3 linked regions of the Saccharomyces cerevisiae S288C genome follow. The main gene of each other region encodes a partner of the protein of the gene in region 2 in a complex. Each region holds a gene or a part of one and is shown on either strand. Other genes may lie near its edges.

Region 1 (3,642 bases), on a different chromosome or scaffold from region 2:
AACATAATTCCGGAAATTGTCAATATCACTAGATTCCACGATAAATACTCTGTTTGGACTGTTCTACCATTTGATAACATCACTTGTACACATGCTAGAGGTTTGGTAAATTCTTTATCAATAGTGGAGTATGCTGTCACCACAATATATGCGTCTAAGTCAGGTATATTATATGTTATGCTTGGTATTTGGCTAGCTACCGCGGCCTCAACATAATAACTTCCCATGAGTTCTATATTTCCCGGCTTCAACGGACATAATAAATTATCTTGGATTCCACATAGATCAAAAACTTTGGTATAAACATTGAGACCATATGCAATCAATTCTGCCTTGATGGTTATGTTTTCGCTCATAATTGTTTGTGCTTCAACATTAAAGAATAGAGTATTATTTCTCGGGAAAAAAGCAGCTTCGAAATACGATGCAGAAAACTGTGAGTCTTTAGCACAAGTCAACAGAGCCGAAGTCCTTAGATATTCTTTAGTATATGCATCAAATGGTACTGGGAATAGAGTCGATGCGTTGTTCAGTAGTGTAAAAGAGTTAGAAACCTGGAAAGTAGAGCTGTTAATGGAAATAGCGTGTATTTGTCGGAAGATTGCTAGCAAAACAAAAATCCGAGATAAAGAGAAGACTTTAATGGGAAGCATACTTATTCTCTTTACATCTATAAATCAGAGAGGTTAAATATTATTTAAAATAGCATTACGACTTTGCTTCATCATCCTTCCAAAATATTGACACTGCATCATTTTTTAAATGTGTCAGTAATTCGGGCACAAAAATATAAATGGACCGCCATGAACTAAAGCTGTCGTCGATATGGATCGCTCCATAGCAGCATTATAAAAATTAAAAATGCATCAATACCATGCTACAGTAATAACAAAATACAGCATGGATTACCACTACATATTCATCATGTCATGCATTATAGTTGTAACATATGCTGAACACCCATTCATCACGTGTAATTGGACATCCGTGGAGTTCCAAAAGGAGTATAAACGCAAATAGTAAAGCTAAGATATAAGTAGTGTCTAAGTAAATGACTTCTTTGTAAGCGTACAGCTAAAGTTTACCGATGAGTTACGATAAGAAGGCAGATGTCACATCCTTAGATGAAGATTTGAGACAACTAAGAGAAAGCAAATTTTCACCGGAAGCAATTCAAAATATCAAAATATGGGTATATAAATCTGTCCTAAAAGAGATAGCTCCTCCTGGAGACTTATTGGAATGCTTGAAAGATGGAACAGTCCTATGTAAGCTGGCAAATATTTTATATGAAGCAGACACAGGAGAAGCTAACCATATTAGTTGGAAGAGCTCTAAAATGCCATTTGTTCAAATGGATCAAATTTCCCAATTTTTATCATTTTCGAGAAAATATGGTGTGCCTGAAGATGAACTGTTTCAGACAATTGATCTTTTTGAGAAAAAGGATCCTGCCATTGTTTTCCAAACGTTGAAGTCACTATCTCGTTACGCCAACAAAAAACATACAGATAGATTTCCAGTTCTAGGACCACAACTGTCAACAAAGAAGCCAAGACCCCCGGTTAAGTCTAAACCAAAACATCTACAAGATGGTACTGGATGGAGCACTTTTGAATACGGTTATATGAAAGGTGCATCTCAGGCTACTGAAGGAGTGGTGTTAGGACAACGGAGAGATATAGTTTAGAGAATTATTATTAACACTTTCTCTGGCAGAAATTGATAAATAAACATTTAAGAACCCTATATACGCAACCAAAGTTCCTTTGATATATTTTAGTTTTCCATCAAAGTTTTCCTACATAAACACTAAGGTGGCTAGAGACGCGTAACAAAAGTTAACGTTACCGGTAAAAATGTGATTATACAAATCAATCTCACAGAACGGTGTGGAAACAAAGTAGTTGAAGGATTTCAACTATGCGAATCAACAGTGAGCTAGCGAACAAGTTTTCTGCCTCAACGGTGCACTTAGAACATATCACAACTGCTTTAAGTTGTTTAACACCTTTTGGTTCTAAAGACGATGTGCTTATATTCATTGATGCTGATGGGCTGTCATTTGTCAGGGAGAATAATCATGTGATAAAAATCCAACTACTGTTATCTCGGGAGCTATTTATGTCTTATTCGTATAGAAATGAAACTGAGGATCACATGAAACTTTGTGTAAAAATAAATCATATCTTAGATAGCGTTAGCGTGATGAACAGGAATTCGGATGACATTGTTGAGTGTACTTTATCTTATGATGGACATGGATCACCATTTGTACTAATATTTGAAGACTCGTTCATTTCTGAGAGAGTGGAGTACTCTACCTACTTAATTAAGGATTTTGATACTAATGGACTAGAACTCGATAGAGAAAGGATAAGCTTTGAGGCAATTATTAAGGGCGAAGCCCTTCATTCAGCCTTAAAGGATCTAAAAGAAATCGGATGCAAAGAGTGCTATGTATATGCAAAGACCGAGGCGAATGATGAGAATGTATTTGCCCTGATATCTAAATCTCAGCTAGGATTTTCTAAAATAAAATTACCCAGTAACAGATCCATACTAGAGAAGTTACAAGTATTTGACGGAGATTCCACAACAGTAATAGATGGTTTTGCTGTAATTGGGTTCTTCGATTTCACCTCGTTTGATAAAATCAGAAAGAGTACTAAAATTGCAAGCAAAGTCCTTTTCAGGATGGATGTTCATGGCGTATTGAGTGTAAATATTCTAAGTCAAACAGACGATGTCATTATCACTGATACTACAAGACCTTCAAATAATCGACCAGGTAGTATTCGCCAACTGCAGCTACCCAAGGATTATCCCGGTATAGTAATTGAGGTTTGCATGCTAGAAAAAGAATCCATAGATGAGGCAGCACAGACAGAAATAGAACTCCTGATGGAGACTAATGAACTTGGCAATCGTAATAGTTTTAAAAAATCAACTATAAGAAAAAGATATGGTACAGATAAAGGCAATGAAACTTCAAATGACAACTTGCTGCAATTGAATGGGAAAAAAATTAAACTACCATCTGAAGAAGAAAACAATAAAAACAGGGAAAGTGAGGATGAAGAGAATCACTGCAAGTATCCAACAAAGGATATTCCTATATTTTTTTAAGTCAATATCCAGCATCGCAGAAAACGCAGAACTTCATTCAGCATTTGGTAATTTTATAACATATAACTTACAATTAAATAAAAGTTTAACTATATATTATTATGTGATCTAACTCTAGAAAAAGTACTAATGAACATCACACCGTTTATTGTTGGGAGAAGTGTTCCATGATCATGGACAATTCATCAGTTTCAGCACCCCAGTTCTTGACAACAACAACGGAGGCACCGACAACCTTTCTGGCGTTACCTTCACGGTCGATCTTACCCAAACCAGCCCATTCACCTAATTGCTTAGCATCAGCAACCTTGATCAATGGAACCTTGTTTTCTGGGTCGTTAGCCAAACCTTCAACCAACTTGATAATGTTAGCTTCAGTAACAGAGCTGACCAAAACAACCAATAAAGCTTCACCTCTGGTTAAAGCCTTGGTAGATTCTCTCAAACCTCTAGCTAGACCATCGTGAACCAAAGCGGTTCTCAAAACAACCTTCAAAGCATCTTCGATAGTAA
Region 2 (3,711 bases):
TTTTTGATGTAACAGAACTCAAATTTAAAAAGTTTCCTATCATATTCTCAGGGTGGAGCCAGTTTAAAGATATATTGCGTTTTATTTCTTTTTCTGCGGTATATATAGATATGAAACACCAGTAATATATTCAAATTAGCTATTTCTTGTTATTCATTCCTCGCTGAAACGTCCATTTTTTTCATATTTTAAAATCCTAATGAGGCATTACGTACCATATTTGCGTAGTTTTTGTATGGGGATATGGAAGATTATTACAGTGGCAAATTTAATGTGCAGTTCATGTAGCCTTTAAAATGCAACATACCGTTCGTAAGGCTGTTTTGTTCTATCTATTTTTTCTGAGGTTTCCGACAACCTCACGACATTTTTTTTTTTCGAACGGAAAAAAGAAAAGCAGTTAGTATGTAAAGCACGGATTTTTTTATACATATGTACGGATGTGATAGTCTGCAACTCTGCAACTCTGCAGTTCTCAGCCATGTCAGATTTAAAGAGTTTCCTTAGCAACGTAGCAAAGAAATGTACCGCTGTAGGGTTTACAAGCCCTTCGATCTTGCTATATAATATATGATTTGTCCTCTTTCCCTTGGTTTTTCCACATCTTCGCTATCTTCCAAGCTACCACGATCCAACGAACAGTGGAATACGCAGGATTCGTCGTGAGAAATCGCCAAAACAACTTCTTCAAATGCAGCGTATAACTTGGAACACACCTTCCAATCTTTGCAACGGATGATTACTTCATGTGTGGACGAACTTTCCTGTTCAGCCTTTTCCACCATAACGGATATGTCATTAAATTCAGTATCACCGCTAGTATCAGCTGTGTAAATGTTTCCCCGCGTATCTGCGATCGAGCTATCCTCAATTCTTAATAAATCTTCATCGTAGCGGATATTTTCTTCCATCTCTCGATCTCTAGTATTGGTATATAGTGAAGACATCGGTTTATCCGCTTCGATAATCGGAAGAGATCCTTCCTCCTGCCGGCCGTCTGTGTCGATGTGCTGGTTTTGGGAAGGATTGTCAGTGAGCCCTTCTTGGCGTTGTATCACAGAGTCTAAGGGTCCATTCCAGCATATTTCCAAATGCCAATCTAATTCATTCACAATTATCTTAAGTTCTACATCATCACCTTCATTTCCATGCTCCTTTTTTTTGACTCCCATTAAATGAATGTGGTTGACATTACTGTACCGTTCAACACGTCTAATAAACCCGTGGAAGGCGGAGCCAAACTCGCCCGATATTGGTGGCAGCTTGTACATCATCAGTTGAATATAGTTAATCATTGGCTCTTGTATTCGCGTATCTTGTGCTCGGAATAATAGTTTGACAGGTACTTTGAACGAATGCATGATAACCTTATTGCTTGCGAGTAGATTTCCTGTGCCTACTGTGGTTGGTAAACCATTGTGCTCATCCACTCCCCCATTCATAACTATAGCGTCATTTGGGCCGCTAGTATGTACAATTTCTTCGAATGTTATACCTAGAGCACAAATGGGGTTCGGTTTTGAGGTTGTATCTACGCCTCCTGCTGTTCCTCCTGAAAGTGTTCCGTTATTTGTATTCCATTCTGGCATTGACTGTAGTTTTATAGTCATATTAGAGGAAGATCCTTGGTTCATTACTCGATCATACCTTTTAAACACACTCAATAAAGAATCACAATTACACTCCATTGTTATTGTATTGAGCTCGCGAGCTGATATAACTGTATATAATCTGAATACATCATGAGGAATGGTACACCAAAGCTGACCAGTATCCCCTCGTAATATTGTACCGTTGTTACTGCTGTTGAGTGATGATTTTGGAGTGGATATTATTGTCAATCTTTCACTATTAAATCTTAAGATAGCCGTCTTTCGTAGCGAAGCAACTGTATTGATAGTAGTTCTTAGCAATTTATAATCATCAGGTGCTTCACAACCATTTACTATCAATTTTAATTTCATTTAACTGAATTAAGACACACCTTTTGTCTTCTTTTTTCTCTCATCATCTCCGTATGTTTATGTTGCTATTTTGATGTAAATAAAAAAGTTGAATAATAGACGAGGGCAAGTATAACTCGCCTATATTTGTAGCCGCAACCATTGAAAAAGAGCCATGAATATGGGAAACTAGTTGCACATAAAAATGCTGAAATTTAGAATTAGGCCAGTGAGACATATACGGTGTTATAAACGACACGCATATTTCTTACGATATAACCATACGACTACCCCTGCACAGAAGTTACAAGCACAGATCGAGCAAATACCTCTCGAAAATTACAGAAATTTCTCTATAGTTGCCCATGTTGACCATGGGAAGTCAACCTTAAGTGACAGACTGCTGGAAATAACGCATGTCATCGATCCCAATGCGAGAAATAAACAAGTTTTGGATAAATTGGAAGTCGAAAGAGAAAGAGGTATTACTATAAAGGCGCAAACATGTTCGATGTTTTATAAAGATAAGAGGACCGGAAAAAACTATCTTTTACATTTAATTGACACGCCAGGACATGTGGACTTCAGAGGTGAAGTTTCACGGTCATATGCGTCTTGTGGGGGAGCAATTCTTTTGGTTGATGCATCACAAGGCATACAAGCACAGACGGTTGCTAATTTTTATTTAGCCTTCAGTTTAGGATTGAAATTAATTCCAGTAATAAACAAAATTGATCTAAATTTTACAGATGTTAAACAGGTAAAGGATCAGATAGTGAATAACTTTGAGCTCCCCGAGGAAGATATAATCGGAGTAAGTGCTAAAACAGGATTAAATGTAGAGGAACTGTTACTACCGGCTATAATTGATCGTATACCACCACCAACGGGGAGGCCTGATAAACCCTTCAGAGCATTATTAGTGGATTCTTGGTACGACGCATACTTAGGAGCGGTTCTTCTAGTGAATATTGTTGATGGTTCTGTACGTAAAAATGACAAGGTTATTTGTGCTCAGACAAAAGAAAAATACGAAGTCAAAGATATTGGAATCATGTATCCTGACAGAACCTCTACAGGTACGCTAAAGACAGGACAGGTTGGCTATCTAGTGCTGGGAATGAAGGATTCTAAAGAAGCAAAAATTGGAGATACTATAATGCATTTAAGTAAAGTAAATGAAACGGAAGTACTTCCCGGATTTGAAGAACAAAAACCCATGGTATTTGTGGGTGCTTTCCCGGCTGATGGGATTGAATTCAAAGCCATGGATGATGATATGAGTAGACTTGTCCTCAACGATAGGTCAGTTACTTTGGAACGTGAGACCTCCAATGCTTTGGGTCAAGGTTGGAGATTGGGCTTTTTAGGATCTTTACATGCATCTGTTTTTCGTGAACGACTAGAAAAAGAGTATGGTTCGAAATTGATCATTACTCAACCCACAGTTCCTTATTTGGTGGAGTTTACCGATGGTAAGAAAAAGCTTATAACAAATCCGGATGAGTTTCCAGACGGAGCAACAAAGAGGGTGAACGTTGCTGCTTTCCATGAACCGTTTATAGAGGCAGTTATGACATTGCCCCAGGAATATTTAGGTAGTGTCATACGCTTATGCGATAGTAATAGAGGAGAACAAATTGATATAACATACCTAAACACCAATGGACAAGTGATGTTAAAATATTACCTTCCGCTATCGCATCTAGTTGATGACTTTTTTGGTAAATTAAAATCGGTGTCCAGAGGATTTGCCTCTTTAGATTAT
Region 3 (4,117 bases), on a different chromosome or scaffold from region 2:
GTGGACGGTTGTATTGGATGGAAATATTGATTATGAGGGGCTACATGATGAAGTTGAGGAGTATAACCGGTATTCCATGAACCTTCATAATACGGAGAGTTCGGATACATATGAGGTGAGTAAGCTGCATTAAAAGCAGAGTCTGTTTTTTGCCTTTTAATTTTCGATTCATCATAGCCATCTGATAGCGTTCCGGAGTATGTAGGTTTGGGAAGCCTAGAATGTCCATCACCCTTCGAATTTTCAAAGTTATTATAATTCATAGTCCATGTCGCAATAAGCTAATCAAAATGGAAAAAGAGATTGACTTATGAGTTAAATATAATAGCATCAATGAAATTTTTAAGTTCCTATTAAGTAAAAAGCTATGCAATATAGAGATATTATGCTATTGAAAATTTTAGTTTGTTCCCCGACCGTGATGGACCATCAGCCGCACGCTCACCAAATTGAGACAGAAAAAAAAAAAAAAACAGCGATCGATATTATCATGATAATTGCTACTTCATCTAATATTTACACGCCTTTATACTGATTTTGCATTATGGTTTTAGTCAAATATACCCCTTGGCTTTTCTACTTGTGTTAGACCCAGCCCATCTTCCATCTCTTTATTGTCCTGTTTCTTGTGATTACTTGTGTCATTCTGGGAATTCAACAGACCTTGCATATGCTTCAATTTTTCTTTCTTGAGCATTCCTTTTCTATCGATATTGCTGCATGAAACCTCATCATCTGCAGCTGGTAACGCTTTTCCCCATGTCACAGTGGTGTCTGCCCTTTTTGCAAATGTAGATTGTTGGGTGGGGTCTTCAGTTTCATTACAAATATCTGCTATGGATCTTTTTAAAGAATTGCTCTCATTACGTGGACAGGCCACTTCATGAGTCGTACCAATGTCAAAACTTTGTTCCCGATTCATGTTCATATGAACTGAACTAGCCTGCCGGAACCGCTTATCTTGTTCGTAATTCGTACTTTGGCTTTGTTCTTCCACGAATAATTTTCTTGCCGTGTTATTTCTATAGGTCTTAGCAACTGTGCTTCCATTATCAGGGGTCAGATACGACACTTTCAAAGGACTGTTTCGAGTTCCAGCCACAGAGTGTGGCAGGTTTTCTCTCTTTAAAGCAGTTTTGCTTTTTAATGGACTTTCGCAGCTTTCTTTGTTGTCTTTCAGTCCGGCCTCTTCTTTGGAGCCAGAGATTGCTGTTTTTATGAATTTTCCTTCTAAAATATCATCGTTAATGTTACTGTCAGTAACTTCAACCAATTCTAATTTTACGCCCGGTTTTTGCATTTGCATAAGAATAGGGTCCCCTGGGTGGCAAAACCATAAACTTATATTATCATTTCCGTCCTGGGTAGTCTTCCAGGATGGACCTATCGTTATGAAGTTTTTGAAGTCCTTCAATTTGAATATTATACTTTTCATATGCTCTCTACGCTTACTATGTGATCGCTTATCTTGTTTTTCATCTTCGATTGTTGTAAATAAGCAATAATGCTCAAGATCGAGCGTACTGATAGTGTTACTCATGCTTAACGCATTTCTTAAAAGGTCGTTATTTTTGCCGTAGACGGCCTTGGTGAATGCAGTTATGCTTAGCCTATGTACGTTAATTTCCAATTTTACTTCATCGGTTACATTAACATTGCAGTTGTCTAAAAAATTCTTCAATAAAGTTGAATTACAACAAATGTAATTAATCTCATCAGCAGCCGTTAACTGATTCCTTTTACGTATGTCTGATTCCACTTCTTCGTTAAATAAGGCTGATGTTAGCTCACGCTCTGTATTTGTAAAAACGTCCAATAGCTTAGGGTCCAAGGGCTCCTGTGGATTCCGATCGGAGGCAGCAGTTCCAAAAACATCCAAAAACCTCCTTTTGTACTTAAGGTTGATTATTATGGGATCGTATTTTATTGGCTGGAATTGGGGACAGTATTCTTTGACTATTAACGAATCCATTTCAATCACCACAATCAATCTATTTGCAAGTGATTCAGGACAGGTAGAAGTGTTGTTTACCGCAATTGTGAATGATTTGATGCCATCACCATCCGGCTTTCTTGATATAGTTGTTAGGTGTCTTCCATTAACACGGAAGGAGTATAACTTATGACTATTGCCGTACGTATCTTCTATAACTTGAACCCCATTTTCTCCAAATACAATCTCATGTGGTTTAAACTCATACTCCTCAAAAAAGCTTTTCTGAAACCTAACCTGACAAAGAGTAGTATCTGTCTCGTTCATTGACCAAGCAATTAACTCATTTGTTGTCACTGTAATCTTGATATCATCCTGAATTGTAGATAACACATATATCGCACGAAACCAGATATTCTGCTTCCCCGACTCGGTGATAGTTGCCTTAAATGACATATATGTCTAAGCAAAGTTATGCTGTGTTATTGTTACACTAGCAATAGTATGTCAAATAATTTTGCAAATCATCTCTGGTCTATGATTACCTTTGGCGGCCTTTGATTCATTCGCGTCATTATTAAATATGCCGTCTCTTTCGGCAAATTGAGTGCACCGCAATAATATACTATGCAGAATAAAATACTTAAATTAATTATAGTTTACGTACGTAATCGCTGTCATTGAGAATTCACGACTTCGATTTTTTTATCGTTAAATGTCAGTGCTTTGGTCTCGAAGAAATTCATTTGGTTCTGGAGAATTTTTTGCTTTCGTTTTTAGTTTGTTTTTTGACTTTGACTTTTTCCCTTTCTTCTTCTTTTTTATAACTATAACTTCTTCAGTATCACTTAAATTATCCTTTTCATCTTTTACAATAAGATTGGCCTCTAAACGACTTAATTCTAACTCGTCTTCCTTTCTAAGGTTGCCCTCTTCCTGCGATCCTCTTCCTGCGTTACTCGATTGCCCAAAATTGGAAAAATCAAAATTTTCAAGTTGAGAGTGCATTCTCAGATTAATCTTGTCCTTTTTCAAAGGATTTTGAGTTGAATGATTATCATGGGGTTTCTGGAATGCATCTTTCCTTTTGGGAGCGGCTTCGATAACAGGTTCATCGGATAAGACTTGAACCCTATTTTTCTTCTTTCCCTTCTTCTTCTTTCTGCTGATTTCAGTTGTAGATAAACTTAGAGAATTCAACGAATTATCGGTTCTATTTAATCTAATAGTTTCTGGCTTTTTATCACTACTTTCCTCCTCATTCAAGTCCAACAAATCTTTAGAGTTCTTAGTTCTTTCTTCGTCTTCTTCACCTAGATAATAAGGATTTGACATCCGTTCCTTTTCTCTCTCAATCTCAAATGGATTTTCAAAATCATCCAATTTTTCCTTTTCTTCATACGAAGTATCAGAATCATCAACGAATTTTAGTTCAACTTGCTCGTCCATTGAGATATCAGACATTAAATCACTGATGGCGTCACTTTTTTGTTCATCTAAGAGTTCATCAGCTGCCTCCTTTGTCAAAAATGGAGTTTCTAGATCAAGATTCTCATCTACTGCTAACTTCAATTGAGTCCCACGCGCAATTGGTGCGAGTTCATAGGCGTTAAAAAAACTAGGCAGGACTTCGCTCAGTAGCATTGGTAGACCTTCCGTATCCTCCTCTAAAGCCTCCAAACTTAGTCTTAAAAATTCTAAAACTTCTACGCTTCTTTCCTGGACTTCGAATGTACTCGAATAAGATAAATTTTCAAAAAATTCAATTAGCTCTTTTAACACCATTTTAATTTCAAAGCGTTTATCCTCCTGAAAGTTATTACACCAATTACTAAATACTTTAACAAGTGCTAAAATTAAAACTTCTTGTACACTATGAGAATAATAACTGATATTCTCAGTCATGATTTTTATTAAGTCGTTACCATTTTCAACTAGGGTAGAAAATTCTCCGAGACACCAAATGCATTCTCTCAATACGGTAGGCAACTGTTTGTTAATATTGTCATTTGAAATAAGCTTTATAATATTAGCAATGGTTACTTCTCTCATTGAAGGAACTTTTATCATCAAATTCCTAAACTGTTCACCAATTTTTGATCCAAGGCTTTTATCAGATATGTCTTGACAGAGCATCGCCAAGTCCATTATTACTGCATTGTACCATTCAAAGTCGTTAACACT

What was found.
Region 1: MEC3 (region 2) and RAD17 share a complex: the UniProt entries of both Saccharomyces cerevisiae proteins name them as parts of the checkpoint clamp complex.
Region 3: MEC3 (region 2) and DDC1 share a complex: the UniProt entries of both Saccharomyces cerevisiae proteins name them as parts of the checkpoint clamp complex.

What each region holds. Positions count from the first base shown.
Region 1 is NC_001147.6:1,024,920-1,028,561, forward strand, and holds RAD17 (Rad17p), read left to right. Parts: upstream 1-1,923; coding exon 1,924-3,129; downstream 3,130-3,642. Other genes in the region: YOR365C (putative flavin adenine dinucleotide transporter), read right to left, coding at 1-653; SCP1 (Scp1p), read left to right, coding at 1,088-1,690; 40S ribosomal protein eS12 RPS12, read right to left, coding at 3,275-3,642. UniProt on the Saccharomyces cerevisiae protein: Component of the checkpoint clamp complex involved in the surveillance mechanism that allows the DNA repair pathways to act to restore the integrity of the DNA prior to DNA synthesis or separation of the replicated chromosomes.
Region 2 is NC_001144.5:712,941-716,651, forward strand, and holds MEC3 (Mec3p), read right to left. Parts: upstream 1,965-3,711; coding exon 540-1,964; downstream 1-539. Other genes in the region: 40S ribosomal protein eS30 RPS30A, read right to left, coding at 216-218; GTPase GUF1, read left to right, coding at 2,149-3,711. UniProt on the Saccharomyces cerevisiae protein: Component of the checkpoint clamp complex involved in the surveillance mechanism that allows the DNA repair pathways to act to restore the integrity of the DNA prior to DNA synthesis or separation of the replicated chromosomes.
Region 3 is NC_001148.4:177,549-181,665, reverse strand, and holds DDC1 (Ddc1p), read right to left. Parts: upstream 2,390-4,117; coding exon 551-2,389; downstream 1-550. Other genes in the region: RSA1 (Rsa1p), read right to left, coding at 1-263; APL5 (Apl5p), read right to left, coding at 2,645-4,117. UniProt on the Saccharomyces cerevisiae protein: Component of the checkpoint clamp complex involved in the surveillance mechanism that allows the DNA repair pathways to act to restore the integrity of the DNA prior to DNA synthesis or separation of the replicated chromosomes.